Bombyx mori: one gene and its partner. The protein of the gene in region 1 interacts with the protein of each later gene in a pairwise test. Links are inferred from orthologs where the notes say so. Each region holds a gene or a part of one and is shown on either strand. Other genes may lie near its edges. The genes, in order: GRIP and coiled-coil domain-containing protein 1 and ras-related protein Rab-39B.

Region 1 (3,992 bases):
GTAAAAAAAAAAATCAACGATGGGTACTTCATGAATTGAGTGGATCGAACTTCCAAACATGCGTCAACTGCTGTGTTACTTTGCTCAAGCGACACAATAATGAAGGGATTTTAAATCAAATCATTACTTGTGATGAAAGTGTATAGGTACTGTACGATAATCGGAAGCGTTCGTCGCAATAGCTGAACTCTGCAGACCCAGCCAAATCCTGCCCTAAACGAAAATAGACTCAGAAAAAGTTACTTGTGAGTTTTGTGGACTAGCGGCGCCGGTGTCGTTCACTACAGCTATCTAAAATCTGACCAAACGATTACGGCAGATATCTATTGTCAGCAACTGTAAACCATGAAGGAAGAACTAGGTGCTAATCAACCGAGATTGGTCAATCGCTTTAAGCCATTGCTCCTTCACGACAATGCAAGACCACTAGTGCTTTCGTAAGCAATATAAATATAAATTTAAACTTTGTGACAATGATTACGAAAATGACAATTATCTAACAAATTTTATATAATGAGTAAGATAAATTTGACTTTTGTTGATATTTTAATGAGTAAGATAAATTTGACTTTTGTAATTTTATTCTCAACCTTGTATTCTTTTATTTTGTTTTCCATATTCACGTAGATATGTAGGTCTAAAATTTTCTTGTTACTTATAGTACATCCTCAGATTATTAGAGAAAAGAATATTAGTTAATACGATATACGGTATCGATCGTTTTGGAGTTTTTAATGGTTTCTATGTTGTCAAACGTCAAAAAATCGGTCATGCTGTTTTTTTTAAGAGATTTTATGACCTGGTAACTAAGACCTTTAAGTCAGGTCTTATTTTACTTTATATTCTTAATTTTATGAAAAATGATAATAAGGAGTGAAATGAAATGAAGATGATTAATTTGAGACATTAATCAACTGGGATGAAATTTAATGATATGAAATGATATGGGATGAAATATAATCACAGTAAAATAGTGGTCATTTACTGAGATTTTTTCAGTGGACTTTTTGGAGGAACCCGAGAAGTTACGTCCAGCAGCTTTGTTTCATTTTCCCACATTTGTGCACTTTCACAGATATTAAACAGTTAATAAACCACCATTATTACATATTTAAACCTGAAGAAACACTAAATAGACAAAATAAAACAAATCACACAACTTCAGTCCTCGCGTTCCCGCCAAAAAGTCTCATCGGTCATGCTGGTAAGTGGAAGCATAGATTAGACATTAATGACATTATTTTATTATAATATAAGTTGAACTGGGAACTAAAAAGTGATGTTAATATTGATTTAAATCAAATTTTATTTACAGACTTGTTTAAATTGTGGAGTTTTCTCAAATAATTAAACCTGTACTAAATACTGATCCGTTCTAGTTTATTTGAACTTAACTAATAGTTTATGGTAAAGTTTATTTAACAAAAATATGTCTAGTCTTGTGTCATAACAATAGAAATGGAATCATTATCAAAACAAGAGCTAATATCTACCATAACAAAACAAGCTGATCAGATAAAACGATACGAATCACGTTTACGGGGTAAGTGTAATCTTTTTTATTTGGAATAGAAGGACAGTGTTTAGCTCGGAGGATTTGCTGCTTAACCGGGACAGATAGTCAGCTCACGCACTCATTCCAAGACTTCGCGAGATTCTTATTAAACATAGTTTATTGAGAAACATGTGAAAGTGCTCCTAAACACCATTAGAAAAGATTAATTTGAGAGCCATATGTTATGTGGCTAAAACAAATCCTGTAGTGCATTTACATAAAAGTAGATTTTCTAAATACATATTTGACAAATTTGAATTCATCTCAAAAACCTTGGTTTTTGGCTGTGGCAGCATATCAACTATAAATTCAACGTAGAAAAAAGTAATGATGTCATTTACAAGGTAAATTTTCATTTCCAGATGTAGTCACAGCTTACAAGGGCTTGGTTAAAGAGAAAGAAGCATTAGAGATCAGCTTGAAGGCACTCAACAAGACTGAAAACACTATAGATGGAAGTGAAGGTATGGACATTCAGAGGTGTAGAATAGAGATGGGGAATTAACATTTATCACTTCTGTAGATATAAAAAAAATTGATATTATATTGTCTAAAAATACAAATTTTTTTTGGTCATACAGTATAAGCTCTTTTTTCGTGGGGTATATGCTCCTTAAATAGTCTGCAAATACAGAAACCACTAATAGTGGTACAAAGGATATTTGGTTGGATACCTACATATTTAAATCCTTTTTATCAATGTGTATGTACCAGTAGACTTATTAGATCAACACATAAGGAAATCTTGAGCTGTGAATATAGGAATTGGCTTGCATTTTTTTATCTGCGAATAGTCGAAACACAAACGAAGGAATCGGGAATAAGGATCTTTTACTGTATATGAGTTTCTATTTTAAATATAATATGCTAATAGTACAAGTAACCCAAATCACATAATGCATGGATTCTAAAATTTCATTCAATTTACAGATGATTCGGTCACAGCCCTCACTCTGTCTCTTTCTACCCTCACAGTGGAGAAAGCTCGCATGGAAGAAGCTTTCCAGGCAGACAAAAAAGTTACAAGGGATAAGGTACATGTGATTCCATGAATGTGCCTACAGCCAAAGAAAAATATCTGTCTATGCTTTTCTCAGAAATACTAAGTATATATTCTCAGTTGCTATTAGATTAGTGCTGTAGTTATTTAGCTTACCAAAAAGGATTTATTTTCAAGACTTATGTCATACTAATGTTACAAATAATAAGTTAATGTCATACAAATCTCAAATACAAGCTTACTAGATGTTGCTTGTATTTGAGATTTGTTAGTGGACACAAGCAATGCATCATTAGGTGCAGAAGTATATGTATTGTTTTTTTTATTTTTTATTGCTTAGATGAGTAGATGAGCTCACAGCCTACCTGGTGTTAAGTGGTTTCTGGAGCCCATAGACATTCACAACGTAAATGCGCCACCCACCTTGAGATATAAGTACTAAGATCTCAAGTATAGTTACAACGGCCGCCCCACCCTTCAAATCCAAACGCATTACTGCTTCACGGCAGAAATAGGCAGAGTGGTGGTACCCACCTGCGGGGACTCACAAGAGGTTCTACCACCAGTAATACCAGTAGTACCACCAGTATTTTACAATGAAGATATAATTATTGTATATTCTTTGATTTTCGTGAGTCATAGACATAATTAAAACAACTTTTATAGCTTAATCGAACTTGTTTTATTGTCATTATATTATTACTGATGTATGAGATACTTCACAGTTTTAGTGGTCATTAAAATGATTATTGTTGTTTTTTATTATACAAAATGAAATGTTAGCTAATGTTGAGCGTGAATATTATTACAGTATGAGAACATGTTAGCGGCACTGAGAGAGGAGAATAAAATGCTATCGCAGCAACATTTGCTGGAGCTTAACAGTCTGAAAGCCAAGATAGCCTACGAGATACAAGAGAGGGAGAAGGAGAGAGCTGATCATGTTGCTATGATGAAGTAAGCATACATTTCTTATACAGAATATTATGTGATTCTATGACATAAAGGCTATTTTTCAAGTAAACTAGCGCATTTCAAATAGAAAATAAATATTTAAAACTAGCGACCCGCCCTCGCTTCGCTTCGGAAACTGTAATTTATTATTGATTTCTCCATTATTTAATGGATGTTATTATACATATAAACCTTCCTCTTCAATCACTATATCTATTAAAAAATACCCGCATCAAAATCCGTTGCGTCGTTTTAAAGATTTAAGCATACATAGGGATATAGGGACAGGGAAAGCGACTTTGTTATCTTTTTGTTCGATTAAAATTAGTAATTTATTGATAGTAAGATGTGTTTTTGGGTAGGCTCTGTGTATATTGCTTTGATTTTCAGCTCAAACTATCTCAACAGATAGAAGCTACGTTCATATTGCGATATATTATGGTTGAGGTTTATGTGCATGACACTTGTTCCACTCTTTAGGCT
Region 2 (17,638 bases), on another chromosome or scaffold:
ACCCTTATTTTTTTTAATTTTAACGGACACTTTTTCACACACAGAGACGGTTCTCCTTACCTCTACCCTCCATAGCACAGAACACTATTACTTCTAGCAACTCCATAGTCTCAAGGCCTTCACACTGAACACACCTAAAGTCATCGTGGCATAAAGGTTAAGACGTCCGGTGCATTCGTATCTAGCGATGCAACGGTATTCGAATCCCACAGGCAGGTACCAATTTTTCTAATTAAATACGTACCTACTTAAAAAATGTTCACGATTGACTTCCACGGTGAAGGAATAACATCGTGTAATAAAAATCAAACCCGCAAAATTATAATTTGCGTAATTACTGGTGGTGGTGGATGGTGATTCTTACGGGTAGGTACCACCACCCTACCTATTATTGCCCTGAAGCAGTAATGCGTTTCGTTTTGAAGGGTGGGGCAGCCGCTGTAACTATAGGTACTGAAACATAAGAACTTATATCTGAAGGTGGGTGGCGCATTTACGTTGTAGATGTCTATGGGCTTCAGTAACCACTTAACAACCAGGTGGGCTGTGAGCTCGTCCACCGATCTAAGCAATAAATAAAAAAAGAAAATAATACGTAATTTTTTCGTGTGCTATGTCTATTGAGTAATTTTTAAGTAAAACTATTTTCGTATTGTTCTTTTGTTATCTTTTTACTGATTTTTGAAGCTGCCTTCTTATCAGTTTATGGGTTTTTTGCCTTTCGATTTAAATAATATACACAAAACACAGCTTAAAAAGGGTTATAATTGTAATTCAATTAAATAAAATGACTAGCAAATAAAGCTTTGACTCTTACCAGGTACAAAGTTTAAAGAACTGATAAATAATTCAACATATCCCTGATTTCGAAACTATCTCCTAATTTTGAGAAAACGTAACGGCTGGATCTATTTAGATACCTTTTTTTTTTAATGTTAAGTTAGCTGTTATTTAATTATTATTCATTGTCGGCTTTAGCAATGAAAACGGTCTGTTTACGCCCTGTACAATTATTCCAACAGTCACCGCACAAATTGTAAACAGTAATTATCTCTAATATGACATGTGTAAGCACACATTGACTCGTAACTGACCGTGTTTCCTGTGTGCTGTTTGTTTTCAATGCTTCACCTAGAAAAGTAAATAATCAGTATATTTTTGTAATTATAAGTACCTTTTTTTTTTTTTAACGCTGGGGAATCCATTTACGGATACCCGGTCCGGGGGGGTCACGTACCGGGTTATGTCGGACTATTATATATTATAATTATAAGTACCTAACATTCTACGTTATGACTGTGCAGTATTCGAGACAATGGTTTATGTAAATATCTATTATGTTTACGAAAACTACAAATGTTACATTAAGTAGGTAGATAATTTTATGTTCACATTTGGTTGAAGTTGAAAGTTGAAGATGAAAGGCGATTGCATGCAGATGGTATGGATATGTGATGAGATGAAATGAAACTGAAGTTGGTAAGAGAGTGTTAACTATGAATGTGCAAGGATATAGAGGAAGAGGTAGACCTTAGAAGAAATGGATGGATTGCGTGAAAGACGATATGTGTAAAGAGGGGAGTGAGCGAAGAAATGGTATATGATAGAGGAGTATGGAAGGAGAAAACATGTTGTGTGACTGGGAAAAGGGCAGAAGAATGACTACGATTTGGTTGAAGTTTAGTAGGTATCTACTATTTTGCGACGTAGTTGAATAAATGATTTCCAGGCCATGCTCGATATAACGGTTATCATACGTTCCATCGATAATACGCTATACCAGAGGTCAGTGCGGCTCCGGAGCCGTATGCGGCTATTTGCAATCTTGAGTGTGGCTCTAGCACAAATATCCTACAGGCTTGCCCGGCCTCTAATATTATCCGGCTGTGGACAGTGTGGACGAAAAAGCCGGTTAATAGTATGTACGGTCATTTAATATCAGCACCCCTGACTAATGTCGATTATTATGTATATTAATCGAAGCAGTATACAATATAGCTTTTATTTAATGATTTACAATAATAAATGTTTACTACATTTACAAACAGATTTGGCTCTCAATTTTTTTAAGTCGTTTTAATTTGCATATTTGGCTCTTTGGCTGATAAGTTTGTCGACCATTGCGGTAATCCCATCAATGAGATTCTTTCACGATAGAAATAGGGACAAAGAAAATTACGCTTGTCAATCCTATATGGATACACTACAAAAAAGGTTTACTTACAGTAAAGTGGAGTACTACATCAAGGGCCGTAATCTGTTATCAGCACATTCTAACGGCATAGTCCGACGGACTATTATAATTTAATTTTACTCTTTTACAAAGTTATCACATCTTAGGAGACAGACATTCTGACCTCATTAAACAAAACTGGGTGAACACTATAAAATAAAACAACGTTTCATTTAACAAAAACTATATTATTATTAATCATAAAGCTTCATTTGATAGCATATTGGCTATTTATTAAAACAGTCTAACACATAAAAAAGAACAATAATAATTACTTACATAAAATGAGTTCCGTTTACAGTTCTTCAACTTTTGCGCTTCGAATATCTAAATCAGTTTGGAGTTCGAACACATCATTTTACAGAAAAAAATATTTGAGCCGCCATGCTTTCGTTATTACTACAAACTGTTATTACATCATCTGCTTGTATAGGTATATTTCACTGTGACGGTCTAAACTGAAGACTATCTGATATAGTCGCCAATGAGCTTCACGAAAGCTATCGCTTTTACTGCGAACAGTTTCGGCGATATCCAATCTAGTCTCACAGCTGCAATAGCTCACACAATTCCAGCGTGCGATGTTGTGAGAGGTGTTCACAGATAGGAGATATAATGAAACATTGGATAAATCAAATAATTGTTCGTCGAGGTCGATAGACGTAATCAGCTGCTATTACGTTTAAAAAAGGCACAACCTGATGGTCATGGTTTCTAGCACGAAGTATTGTTTTTAGCTTCCTGATAAATGTTGCCAATCATGATTTAAAGTATTAACAGGACACGAATAGTACATAGTAAAGGCTATGCTGGCAATATCTTTGGTTGATAAAAAATTGAAAAGTGTCGAAGTATCGGTGTGATTAGCATAGTGAGTTTCTCGCCGCCCACTGAGTTTCCCGCCGGATCTTCTCAGTGGGTCGCGTTTCGGATCCGGTGGTAGGTTCTGCGCAGCACTGTTCTTGCTAGGGCCAGTGTTAGCAACACACCCGGTTTCAGCCCCGTGAGCTCACTTACACGTCAAGGAGAAGCTGATGTAGCCCAAGGCTATCAGCATAGGTAGGAAAAAAAAAGAACAAATGGGAACAGAACTGCTACATGTTGCTGAACCAATAGCTAATGGAGCAGTCGAATTCGAACACAATACACGACATATCCAATGAAGGCCACGTTTATGTTCATTCGCCAGACGTACGAGCCGGGAAGGAATTTGTATGGGAAATAACAGTAAAATATTTATCTCAAGCTAGCATTTTCATCTAAGCTGTGGGTGATCAAAACATCCACGAGTGCGACATTAGAAATATACATATACTGCGCAGCGCAGTAGCCAGTTCATATAACACCAGCGAGCTCCTTAAAATATATTTTTTTCATTTAAATATGCAACTTATTCACAAGTATACTGACTACAAAAAGCCCTATACATGTTATCAAATCTGATTTATCAAACGAAGAACTTGAAGAAATAAACATGAACATTTTAATACAATACGTTTTTTATTATTATTTTATTACTATAAGATTATAAACGTTAAACCTAACCTTTTAAGCATAATAATGCTTCAGAGTAAATGTTGTGGGTACTCCAAGAAAATAGTAACCATACTGATTTTAAGTAGTACCATTGAAAAGGATTTTACACTTTGATACGCTTATGTGTACTATAAGGATGGGAGATTTATCGATAATTTTACTTGTACAATAAGTACATAAGGCATCCAAATTAATAATCGTTGTGTATGATGCACACCACTCTGCTCTCCTCGACATATCTAAGAACGTTTCGAATTTAGTGTAAATATTTCGAACAATTAATTGATCACACGTTTATTCCTATAATCACAATTAAATATCAATTTTATATAATAATATTGACTGCTTAAAGGCATATGTGTTGTGATTTTTGTAACAGTTTAAGAATATAAATGTTTTCAGAAATAATAAAGTATGCAAAAGCATAAGTTATACCAAAATGTAGGTTGCTTTATATACATTCAAATTTGAACTAGAAATCAATATATTCATATTCCATTGCCATTATTATGTTTATTTGATAGTCATTGCTAAACGTAATGTTGTTGGTAGGTAGAAAAACATATTTGTAGTGTAGTTACATAACTATAATCCGAATAGATTCATTAAAACAATTAAAATTCAATAAAAAGGTAAGCAAAAGTTGTTGGTATTTTTTTGAGCGTGAACAAGATTAGGTAGCTATTGTCCTGTTTGCAATAGAAATTAAGACAATATGGTGAATCCGAACATTTATATTTATAATTCTAAATATATTTTATGAATTTGCTATTAAAATGACTACTTGTTTAATTAAATATATCGGGTTTCTTATTTATTTAGTCTCATAAAAATCAATGGATATTTGAATAATATATTTTTGCGCTCATTTCCCTTGGACGGTAGAATTAGCACGTTAAAGTTTTAGAATGTAGCATCTGTATATTGGATTCTTAATATTCAAAATATTTATAATAATTATTTTAACACTAATGAAATATTTCAAATGACTACTAAAGTGTTTATTAATCATTTAACAATCGCAGGTACAATTTTAATGTTACAATTACTTAGGTTAGTTTAATTCAATGTACAAATCAATTTGTTAGTAAAAACTAAAAACAAGTTAGAATCTAAGACTTATTTCATTTTTCTGCTAAGTTTTCGGTGTACCAGATTTACCAATTCTTTGGTGTCTTTAAACAAATTAAATTAAATTTTAAATTCATAGTGAAATTGAATTTTGGTTCGAAAGTACTTTGGTGTAATGAAGTGTTGGAGTGAAATGTCCATTTTTAAAATGAAATTGTACGTGGAATACGATTTGACTGTTTAGAAATATAAAATAAATCAGAACAATAGAAACGTGTCAATACTGTACATTATTTACATCAAAAACAATAAAACAACAAAGAAAAAATAAAATAATGACTATAAACAAAACAGTGTATTCGGTCGTTTGGTCATTGGAATTAGTTGGTAAAGTACCAATTTTTTTTAGTACAAAGAGTAGTTTAGCTTTCAGGGATATTATCTTCATAATTTAATAGTGCCCCTAAAGCAGACCCATTCAAAAATGAGATTTTTAAGTAACATCAAAATATATTTTAATTTCATTGTTTATCCGTGCCTGCAATACCTTTACTAACATTCAAGTTCAATTTATTTAAGTGTAAACATATTTTAAATTTCGCATTTTAATTAGTATTATCATGCGGCTATGTTTTTTTTGGTTTTTTTATGACACACTTTTTGTTTATTCGATTACTGTTGGATTTTTTTTCGCAAACACCATATACCTAGATATAATGGTTACTCCTACTACTGGGACAATTCTAATGCCTCCACATGTGTTATAATCCGTTACAGGTTTAGCTAGTAGTCCCAGAGTACCAAAGAAATAGTCATTCATACATACGTACGAAAATTACTTTTTATAAAAAAAAAGTTTACCTAATTTGATCGGCTACGTTTATTTTTGCTTACAATAATTGTCACAGTGACATAATTAAAAATATCTGTGAACCCGCGCATTAAACTTAAATATCAATGATATTTAGAAATGCTATATTTTCCACAGTCCTACCTATAATATACTCGTATTATGCTATATGCTATATTTGCCATATAATATTTGTAAAGCAAAGTAACGATAAAGTATTCTTGAAATAATTGTAAATAAATTCAAATCTTAAAGATGAAAGTCACCTCAATATAATTCTGTAAATAAAAAATAGGGTTATTTGTTGACTGACAACATTTAGTCAGCCACCCCTTTTGCGAGCATGTTTTTTATGGAAAAATAATGGTAGGTACATATTGAATTTTTTATTTATTAATTTAGTCTTTTTTCTGTTGTAGTGTGTAACAGGGATTATTAAATATTTATTATGTGTCAAAGAGCGTAATAATAATGAAACAAAATACTCGAAACTTCATCTCGGGCTTCTAGCCCTCATTAAAAATACCGCATTTTACTGAGAATGACCATATATAAATAATAGTAATTAAAAACGTGTGCAAATCATGTATCTGGCGTCTTTAGCTTGTCAATTAGCGGAAACTGCAAACAGTCATATGATACGATCAGCGATGTTAATAAATTGCTTGATAGCTTGTCATCACTTGTATAAACGGTGCATTATTAGCTTGTGTTAGCTATCACATAGCAATGCTTTTTATTAAATTTCACATTAATAATCCGTTAATTATGTTTCATGAAAGTTCCGGTTCGCATGTTGACGGCAATACAATACGGCATAGATTATACACTTTAGCATCATAGATTAGCGAATTCTTGTCACGATTTCCTGTATCTAAAACCACGTTCACACTTCAGATGGCATTCTTATCAAAATAACTTAAAAGAACAGTGGTAATGCTCAAAAAGACCGCATCTCACCACAATTCGTAGATAAGGGGCCAGACAAATCCCACCCAACGGACAAAATATTTTATTTTCTTTCGGCAAACGTTAAGTTTTATTATTGTTTGTCGTTGTCATAGGCCTGTTGATCGCTTTCCTGAATTTATTTTAGGATGAATATTTTATTTTAAATTTTGCATTTTGGCTTCAATATAGAAATTACAAGTATTCATTTACCGTAGCAAATTCAACCGATGTTCACCCTAACCTACAATGCTATGCAATTTATTAAATAGTCACCTATACTACCGCCAACTGCAGCGTGATCGCGGCCTAATGAAATGAATGAATTTAAAATGACTCGTGCCCTTGTGTTACTAATGTCTCTGAAATGTCACAAACTGACAATTGTACAAAGTTTCATCTCAATCGGGGGAATGAGGTCAGAGTTTATCAATCTCAGACAGTAATTTCTGCTAACAGTCATTTTTTTGATAAGCTATATCTGTTAACCATGCACATGTAAAAGTATTACAAATCTGGTTGCAAACATTGTTTGATTTTATCTGCTTTGGGAACCTTGATATTACGTTCAACAAGCCAATGCAATGTGCAATTCAGTTATATGATTTCTGGGCTAGTGTATAATCCCCGCATATATTTTCCCTATGTCTACATAACACATTTATATAACCCTATTTATGCCAATAGCAAGTATGTGTGTGTGTGTGTATATAATATGTCCTAAGTACTTAATAAAACGAAAACTCAAATCATTTATTAATATGGAGGGCAGTAGTGATGTTTTATTATGTTTTAGATATTGCTTCACATTACTCATACGCAGTGTTTATTGATAAATACAGTTCATAAACCATACAGCTTTAATGTCATATGAGGAATCACTTGCCAATTAGGGTGCGATAACACTGGTCAACATTGGCTTATAAAAAATGAAAAAAAGGATTTTGCTCAATAAGCATCGTCAATAACTACATACTGGAAACTTTCTATTTCATGTACAATATTACTAAATAAATAAACCATAAATAAAGTAACACCAGACAGTAGCACTAAACATAAAAAAAAAGAGTTGCTGCATTCTTTAACACTGCAAGTTAGTCATTATGAACTTCATTAACCCAAATATTGTAATTAGAACATTAACTACATTACCTGTTCGATATTACAAAAAAGTATATTTATCCTTAAATATCAATTACAACTATTGTGAATCATATTTACATAGCCTTTTTATGCTCTTCATCTAACAGCACGTTGAGTGTACAGCTTCTGCTTCAAGTAAATTGAAATCAGTACCATTTGGTCGATTGAATCCTGTTTTTATTCCGTCCCATCCGTCTTCCACTTTATACTCACCAGTCTGGATTCGGTTGTAGACTTCTTGAGCTACAAGTACAAATGCCTGCTCGACATTTAATCCAGTTTTTGCTGATGTTTCTATGTGATGTAGGCCTGAGAACAGTTATTCTAGTTGTATGTTACAAGAAAACAAAAAAAGTAAGAGAAAATTATATTCTGCCATGGCAATGTTTCCCATCGGAGTTCATTTATAGTCGAGAATATCACCATTTAACTACAGCACACTAATACAGTCATTTTTTCAAATTATGTATCAAGGTATTATTCAATATCTCTATAAAATAGTTGTTTTATAAAATATGTATTTTTCCATAGACATTTTCATATGATTCAGATTTTGGTGTTGTTGTACATTAGCAATGTTGAAGAGGAAAACTGCCTAATTTCAATGAAGTGGCACAATTGAAAATCATTACAAAGGTGTACATTTTAGTTTGGTTAGTTTTTTTGTGTTTTTACATATCCAGATAAGCACAGTCTTATGACTGTTAGATTAGCTATCTTAACTTATTTCAAAACATAACAAAAAGTTAAAGGATTTATTTTTAGTTGAGTAGTTATGGTCACATATATTCTGATTCAGAACCATAATTTATAGTAGTTGAGCTAAAGAAATTTTAATATTTAATGTTCTTTTTATGTATCTGATAACATGATTACGAATTAGCTTTAAATGTGCAAATGAAGTTTCATTGAAGTGTTCAACCAGACAAACAATATTAGTGTACTGAATAATATTAAATTAGAATAATACCGTTTTCCTCAGCAAATAGCCTGGCTTCTTCACATGACACTTCTCGTCTTGATTCACTCTTGTTATCACTTCCGACTAGGTCGAGCTTACAGCCAACCAATGCGAACACTGGTCTGTGAGGTTCTATGTGCCTCTTGGCTTCCATCATCCATAATGGTATATGTTCGAAACTGGATCTGTTCGAGACGTCGTACACCAACAAAGCTCCAACAGAGTTTCTATAATACGATTTCGTGATGGAACGAAATCTCTCCTGTCCAGCCGTGTCCCAGAGTTGTAGTTTAATCCTTGTTCCATCTTGGATCTCGATGATTCTAGCGAAGAAATCTACGCCCACAGTCGGATCAGATAGCTGAAAATAAATGCGCAATTATATGAATAAATTGACAAAAATATCACATAAACAAAGAAATTATCACTCACCTCAGCGAACTTCCCGTCTGTAAAATACTTAAGCAGAGAACTCTTGCCGACCGTGCTATCTCCGATTAGGATAAGCCTGAACTGATAATCAAATATCGGATCGACCATTTTCTTTATTGTACATTCAATTCAATAACATTGAATAAAATTGTTAGCAACATTAATCTCGTCAAAATTACGTATGATCCAAAAAGATTCTGTTTGGTTTGTTTTGTCACTACAACGAGCAAGGGAAGCATAGCTCATTCGGCCTAAACTTTTGTGCTCCTGCACCGGAAAGGAGCAGAGCCGACGACGAGGTGTCACCATTGTAGACACGCCCTGGACATGGCGGAGCATACGACCGCTGTCTGTCCCGCTTGGGAGATGCAGCGTGCAGTGTCCTGGTCGCAAATATAAAACCGGACTTGTCGCTGCCTGGCATCGTGGCGTCGATGTTTAACGGCGATGAGTCCTGGAAGGCTACGCTCGACTTCTGCGAGTGTACTATCTCGCGGAAGGAGGCGGCGAGGCGTATGAAGTAAAGCTCTCCTCACTACGCAGAAATCCGCCGCCACCAAGCAGGGGGTCGGGATCCGGGTGCCATCCGTGACTCGCCCCCCCTAAGAGTTTCGGGATCCACCCGCTTTATGCGGGGTGGGACCTAAGCGTGGGGCGGCGTGTTTTGCACGCTCGTAATGGAAATCCGGTGATGGTATACCGCGTTCCCTCGACCGATCCGGGGAAGATGCAGCGCGGCGCCATCAAATCGAGGGGACCGGCGGTCGTGTCGTCAGCGGCCGCTGGTCCGGCGTCTAAAGTACAGCGAGATGAATGTAATATGGTCTGCGTCAACCTGTCCTGCCATTTCAACAGCCCCGACAGGTCTCCAGCCCGGTCCAGGGTAGGGCGCCGGCTGTGAGCGGCAGGAGTTTTTAGTAAGGTTCAACTCCCACACACTTCACCTGCCACGCAGGTGGGGATCCAGCGATTTTCTACTGTGGAAAATAAAGTCCTTTGTGCTACATGTAACGAAATTCTAAAATATCCAGCGGACTAGAGGTAGCCTGGTTCTTTTCTAGAGTTCAAACTATTTCAAACTTAATTTCGTCAAACATCATGACGACAGCCACTAGAAAATGTACGATGAAGTTCAGGCAACCCCTTGGAAGGCGTTGCTTCATTTCTGCGCAGGAGGTCGGGGAATGAAAGATAGTGAACTCTTCCGTTTCCGCACTGATCCGTTGCCGCGGAGCCAGGGCCGATAGAGGGTTTTCGCCCTTAATGAAATAAATATTTAAAATATGCTCACGAGTTATTTCCATGGTAAAGTAACAGGTGTATTAAAATCAAACCCGAAAAAATACAATTTGTGAAATGATTGATGATAGGATTCTTGTGAAGTGTATGGACCACCACCTACATTATTTGCTGTGCGGTACGGTGAAACAGTAATACGTTCCGGCTTAAAGAGTACGTAGAACAACCGTAACCATGTAACATCAGGTGAGCAGTAAAATCGTATACCCATTTATGTAAAAAATAAAGATAGGCAACACATTTTTATTTTTTCATTCAATCTGCTTAGTAACCGTACGTAGAAAATAATGAAATAGATCAATTGTTCAGATGCAGTTGATTTTTCCATTTCTATAAAAAAAAAACACCGTAAAACTTGTGGTGGATTTTAAAGTCTATTTATATTAAATTTTACATTCAAAATTACTTTTTGAACCAAAAACACTTGCGCTATGACAGCGAAGGTATTAAAATAGGAAAGAATTTGATGAAAATCAATCAGTGGCGAAAGAGCTAACTAAAATTAATTGTATTAAACTATAGAAAGTTTTAAAAAGGTTTATTGTAGCTTTATCAGTTTCACAATTTTTTTTATTTTTAATTTTTTTTATTGCTAGATAAATGGACGAGCTCATGGCCCACCATAAGTTAGGTGGTTTCCGGAGCCCATACACAGCTACAACGTAAATGTTTTGAGTATACAAAGTTTGTTAATTTTATTTTTTATTTCTTAGGTGGGCGGACGACCTCACGGCCCTACTGGTGTTAAGTGGTTGCCAGAGCCCATAGACATCTACAACGTAAATGCCGCCATCTACCTTAAAATAAGAGTTCTAAGGTCTCAGTATAGTACAACGGCTGCTCCATCCTTCAAACCGAAATGTACCTAACCATAACTGCTTCACGGCAGAAAAGGCAAGGTGGCGGTACCTACCCGTTCGGACCCACAACTCTTGGGTAAACAAACCTCGGATTGTAAATCGAATCCGAATATAGATATTTAGCAGTTAGAAAACCACATTCATTTCCGGTAAAAAAAAAAAAATATTTCAAAGGTTTGCTTTGCTTTTCTGCGGAAGCAAATAAGACTAAACATCTAAGTATTTTTTTGCGTTGTATTCTTCTTTCAAGTTTCCAGTGATGGATTGACGCTTATTGACGGCATGATTTGAGGGGCGATAAAAAAATTTAAATTCTAAAATTACAGGTACCAAAAAAAGTAAAGCCAGTCTTCTTTAAAAATGAATTCATATTACATTTTATAAAAAATAAAATACAAATTTATTTTAAATTTAAAATAAAAATATTGGATCAAATTCAAAAATAAAATTGTAGCATTAAAGGGGCGGCGCGATAAACAGGGCCTAGGGCGGCATCAAGCTTAAATCCTGCTACAATAAAAGACTGAAGTTCTCCAAGCTAAATAATAATATCCTTCTCTTGTGAATATTTTAAGACCAAAGCTGCAAAGCAAAGTATGCTAGGTGAAAACAAAATCATAAGTTATAAGTAGAAAAGTATCTTCACCTATTACGATTTTGAAAAATTTTAAAGCATTGTCATTGATAGTACCATAGATTATACACTAGATAGCACACTGGCATTGTTAATTGTTATGCATCTTATTGTGTAGTCTGTGATTTTGAGAAATAAATTTAATTGTTCGGATGCGTTCTAGTTTTTGATCCTAAGTGAATAAAAAAGTAACTTGAATGACAATTTACAAAGCTAAATATGAAATATGATTATAAAACATGATGATGATATCATTAATGAATAAAACTCAAATTGTTAAGCTGTGTGTATAACCTACGTGGTGTTAACTTTGCCGCCAAACAAAATTTTGTAAGCTATTTAAAATGAATTAAACACTAGTAATAATTCATTAAAATGTTGTAAAATTTCGCTGTGAATATTATAAAAATGCCATTTTGAGATAAAAGTCGTGAAATTTAAATTGGTAAAATTTGAATTTCAGTTGATATGAATATCAATCTAGTATACAAAATGAAGGATAGTTTAGCAGATTTTAACGATAATAAAACGAAACCAACGCCAATAGGTGAGTACTGTTCAATTCATTAGAAAAAAATATATTTCCTAAGCGTTTAATATATTTTCATAACAGAATGAGCTTTTTACTTTATATTACTAAGTGTAATACCCGATCCCACCCTCGTAATACATGAAGCTTCCAACTCACTTAATTTTGGTGATGCTTAGTCGTTGAAAGAATCTGGTTTAAATAAATTAACAAAAATCAGATTTCTCATAAGAAAGATTAATGTCACTTTAAAAGTCATATCCTAATTAAAAAAAAATCGGGCTTAAGAACCGGATTCCAATTATAAAAAGAAAACCAAGAATTAGATCTAAAGAAAGTTAAATTAATTGAATATTGATATGTTAATTTTTTTAAATCATTAAATTAAATGGAACAATTAATTTATTTTTTTAGATTGCCTGTACACCATTGAATATTTGTAAATTATAAATTAATTTTAAACTCCAATATGTAACAAATCTATCAATCAATGTTATTTGCACTTCCAGCGAAGGTAGCTCCTGAATTAAAACAAAATGCTGATACGGACATGGGTATAACGAAAACTTGTGCTGTACTTGGATGTGACGATTGCAAGAATATGGACTCAATTATGTTTTTTAGGTATGTGAAATTCATAATTCAACGTAATAACCATTTGTACTGTTTATTAAATAATAATATTATCCAGTCAGAGGTAAGTGACCATCTAGTTGTACAACTGACTTGTAGTTATCTCAATATTGGACAATATCTCATTTCTGCATGTCTAACTTGGTCAAGATTTATTGTCTAACCATGTTTTTACCAAGCAAAATAATAAGGGTAGTAAGAAGCATTAATTTACTCTTAATATTTAAAGCAATTTCAGCCATACTTTATTGCCACACTCCCTTTAAACGTTGAATACACTGATTTTCTCCAAGTGACTTATTAAAACAATAAATTTATTTTACAATGCCAGAAACCAGAGTAAAATCAGAAACTTAAATAGTTAAATATTAGTGAATAGTGGAAGTACATATATTATGATTCTTCAATATTGAAAGATTTCTGCTGAGCTTTATTAACTAGGATTAGAGCATTGTTTGTCTTCATAACATGAATAGCTTATATAAAGATGGAAAAAAATAAAACAAAAAGAAAACAATTTTTCTTTTTGTTTTATTTTTTTACCAATATACCAATGTATATTCTGCAACATTTCTTTTTAAACGGTTAAATAGGTTATAGTCAGGGTCAGCATAGCAAATTCGAGAGAAATTCCTAATGTGATTGCAATCTACTTTGATTGGTGTGCAACAACTTTTACAAAATGCGATTGAGCAAATTTGACTTCATTTGAAACTAGATAACATTCATTCATATTTGTCTCCTGTAATCATTAAATACCAAGTGAGTCTATAAATGGCAAGATTAATGATATTACATGATTAATTTGTTTTCAAAGGTTTCCTGAGGACTCAAGTCTCAGACAAATATGGACAGACCTCACGGGCAGAAATAATTGGACTCCAACAGATTTTTCCTATATTTGCATACAACACTTCTCTGTAGATTGTTTCAAATTAGACAATGAAGACAGAATGGTGCTTGTGGATAAAGCAGTGCCATCTTTGAAATTGCCTCGACATGTTTTAGAGGTATGTAGTCAATTACCTGCACTCTTAGGAAATGCTTGTGCGAGTATTATTTGGCAGGCGATAGTGATCAAACTGGCTTTGTCAGATTTAATATATCTGAGGCTCTATTAATGCAATATATATTTGTAAATCAGGTTAAAATCAGAGCATCTCAATGACAAAAAAAAAAAATGGCAATGTCTGCCTAGCTCTGAATTTGAAGATACGGATCTCCTTCACTAACTTTCCTATAATTTATCTGTAGTTGTATGTAGCATGCTTTCCTCTTCTATCATTCTTAATTTACTACTTTTTATGTACTTAGGCCTATGCGAAAGCAAAACAATCTTTGCCAATGTCAAAAGTTTATAAAAATTACATTAATAGTATGTACCTAAATATGAATTAAGGTTGTTAATAAAAGTAATAAAAGCTTCTTTATCTTATGTACCGTTTCATATCTGTATGTTTCCGAACCAATGATTTGCCTACTGCATTGAGGTAATCAAACTGTTCTCTTTTGAAGGATTGACAAACAAGAGAGCTGTTGATCAATTAAAACTTCAACCTTACATTTCAAGGTGGTTAATTAATACATTTCAAATATACAATCATTTTTTGGGAAAATATTTAGTAGTATTTTTACTCGTGGTAGGACCTCTTGTGAGTCCATGTGAACAGGTACCACCACCCTTCCTATTTCTGCCGTGAAGCAGTAATGCGTTTCGGTTTGAAGGGAGGGGCAGCCGTTGTACTGTTAAAACTGGGACTTAAAGCTCATGTCTCAAGGTGGGTGGCGGCATTAACGTTGTTGATGTCTATGGGCGCCGGTGACCACTTAACACGAAGTGGATCGTGAGCTCACCCGTCCAACGTAGCAATAAAAAAGGACTATTGTTTTAGGTTGAATACATTGATGAAGACACATTAGACAATGAAGGTGATAATTATATTCAGACTGAGAGTGACGAAGAACCAGAGAGGCCTAAAAAAATAATGAAAACCATCACATACAAAGAACCAGATATTGAATTACTCAAACTGTTCAGTGAAGTACAAAGAATGCAAAGGCTGGCTGTCACTCTAAAGCAGAAATTAAAACACAACATGAGAATACACAATAAACAGAACAGGTTCTTGCTGAGAATTAGAGAAATAATCGAAATGAAAAAGAAGATTTTAAATCAGAAAAGAAAGAAAAAATGTAGAATTTTATTGTCTTTGCAAGACAAAATCAAGGAAGACACAAGTGGTTTGGTTCTAGCCATGCCGATGAGACAAACGGAAGACCTAAAAAATTTTGCACTTAGTGTTTATAAATATTCTCCTCAAGCATACATATACATTCGGAATACCCTGAGAACAATGTTGCCAAGTACTGAAATTTTAGAATCGTGGGTGACTGCAGGCTACCAGCCTAAAAATGTAGCTTCCAATATGATTAAAGTGGTGGCGGAACAGACTGAAACATCATTATCTTGTAAAGTGACTTTAGGTTAATGGAATTCGATTTATTAAATAAATTAATTATGAAGGAATGTCAATTATTACTGTTATTATTCAATAACCAGAAATCATTTTTTTATCAACTAAACATTTTTAGAGATTTTAAAGTAAAAATTTACTAAATTACCAAAACCCTTTGGCGTGTGTGGTCAGGGGGAAGGTCTTCAACGGGGACTGGAGTTTTTGTGTTTATTGCCTAGATGGGTGGACGAGCTCCGGCCCATTCGGTGTTAAGTGGATACTGGACCCCATAGATATTAACAATGTAAATGCCGGCATGAGACAAGCCTCAGTTTTACACGACAACGGCAGCCCCGCCCTTCAAACTGAAACGCATTTTCACGGCAGAAATATGTAGGGTGGTGGTATCTACCCATGCGGACTTACAGGATGTCCTACCACCAGTTGGGAGTAATCCTCATCTTGACAGCGGCATTTGGCACTTTTCAGCATTGCTCCGGATTTAATTGTTCTACGCTTTGCTGGCGATGGGGTCTTTATTGTTCCGTTACTACAAAGAGATTAATGCTAGGGAATAATATAAATTAATTCAACTTTTTTTTTAGTTTTCATCATAAACAGAAGAGGTGATTGGATTTTAAGCACTTCTACATTTACCGTATTTACACCTCCCTTTTTTTTCCTACCTATGCTGATAGCCGTGAGAGCATATTTCAGCTTCTTGACGTATAGGTGAGCTCACGGGGTTCAAACCGGGAGTGTTGCTAACACTGGCCCTAGCAAGAGCAGTGCTTCGAAGAATCTACCACCGGATCGAAAACTCTACCCACTGAGAAGATCCGGCGAAAAGACTCAGTGGGCTGTGTATATGGGTTAATTTATTCGAGCGCTTCGTCGCAAGCGACGGGTTCAGTGAGGACGGTGACCGGAACACCTCCCAAGATACCAACCAAACATGCGATCAATATCTTAAGTAGTCTCACACGTCAGCTAAAATTACGAAAATTGTCGCTCTGTTAAAAACTTTCAAATCCCCATCAAACAGAAAGTTACGAATAATCAAATTTCTTGCAAAACTTGTTTTTAATTAAACTTTTAAAACAAAAAGCTACTTTAAGTTTATTGGAAATATTGGAAATAATATAATGACAATAAAATACACAAGATTGCAGTATTAAAATTCTATATCTACGTATCGCGTATGGAGGGTAGAAATAAGGAGCACCAGTTTGAATAGTGGACAAGTTCAAAAAGTGTCCGCTTCTAAACAGCAAGTTAGTGTTCGAACACTCACCGAAATAGCGCTAGTGTAGGAAGTGGAAACGACATGAATGTAGCAATTTTAAACAGAGTGAAATGTACTCCAAGCACCGGTCATCGTTCTCGTCGCTTGTGACGAAGGGCTTGGCGAGTTAGGGCGAATTTACATTACGAAATTAGTGGCATGAAATTAATTTCGTGATATTAGTTTTACCAACAGTTTCACGTGTAATTTAATACTTTCGTAATGCATGCATTAATTTCATGCATGTAAATTAGTTTCGTGCCCTGCGCGATTTTTTGGTGAAATTAGTGTCATGCAACTAATTTCATAGTGTAGACGCGACGTGAAACTAATGTCGCGAAAGGGCCTGCGCTATGCGGACGTGTGTATTGTTAGTTCGGACGCGTTTCAAACGTTGAAAATGGCAAACCAACGATGGAGTACAGAAAAAAAATACAATTCATTAATGAATATCAGCGACAAGAGTGTCTCTGGGACCCGAAACACTTACAATATAAAAATAGGCATGCCCGAGATGCGGCCTACAAAATAATTATGGAAGCCATGGAGATGCAATATGTCAAAGAAGCATATATATAAGCATTTCTTTAGCTACATTGAATATAGCAAAATATAGCTTTGATGCTGGCGGCGCCATGGTTACTGCGTTACTGTGGATTTCGCGACACTAATTTTTTAACGAAATTACTTTCGCATATATCGAAACTACTTTCGTGCAACTGAGTTCAACATGCATGACACTAATTTCGTAATGTAAACTCCGCATTA

The links.
Region 2: the proteins of GRIP and coiled-coil domain-containing protein 1 (region 1) and ras-related protein Rab-39B interact in a two-hybrid assay, tested with the Drosophila melanogaster proteins (2 studies listed by BioGRID). The link is inferred for Bombyx mori from reciprocal best matches to the Drosophila melanogaster genes GCC88 and Rab39.

The regions. Positions count from the first base shown.
Region 1 is NC_085118.1:16,485,109-16,489,100, reverse strand, and holds the start of GRIP and coiled-coil domain-containing protein 1, read left to right. Parts: upstream 1-1,192; 5' UTR 1,193-1,458; coding exon 1,459-1,543; intron 1,544-1,917; coding exon 1,918-2,019; intron 2,020-2,485; coding exon 2,486-2,589; intron 2,590-3,366; coding exon 3,367-3,512; intron 3,513-3,992.
Region 2 is NC_085129.1:14,751,547-14,769,184, forward strand, and holds ras-related protein Rab-39B, read right to left. Parts: upstream 9,398-17,638; 5' UTR 9,283-9,397; coding exon 9,175-9,282; intron 9,104-9,174; coding exon 8,752-9,103; intron 8,091-8,751; coding exon 7,882-8,090; 3' UTR 2,401-7,881; downstream 1-2,400. Other genes in the region: THAP domain-containing protein 1, read left to right, coding at 12,436-12,514, 13,006-13,120, 13,947-14,139, 15,022-15,618.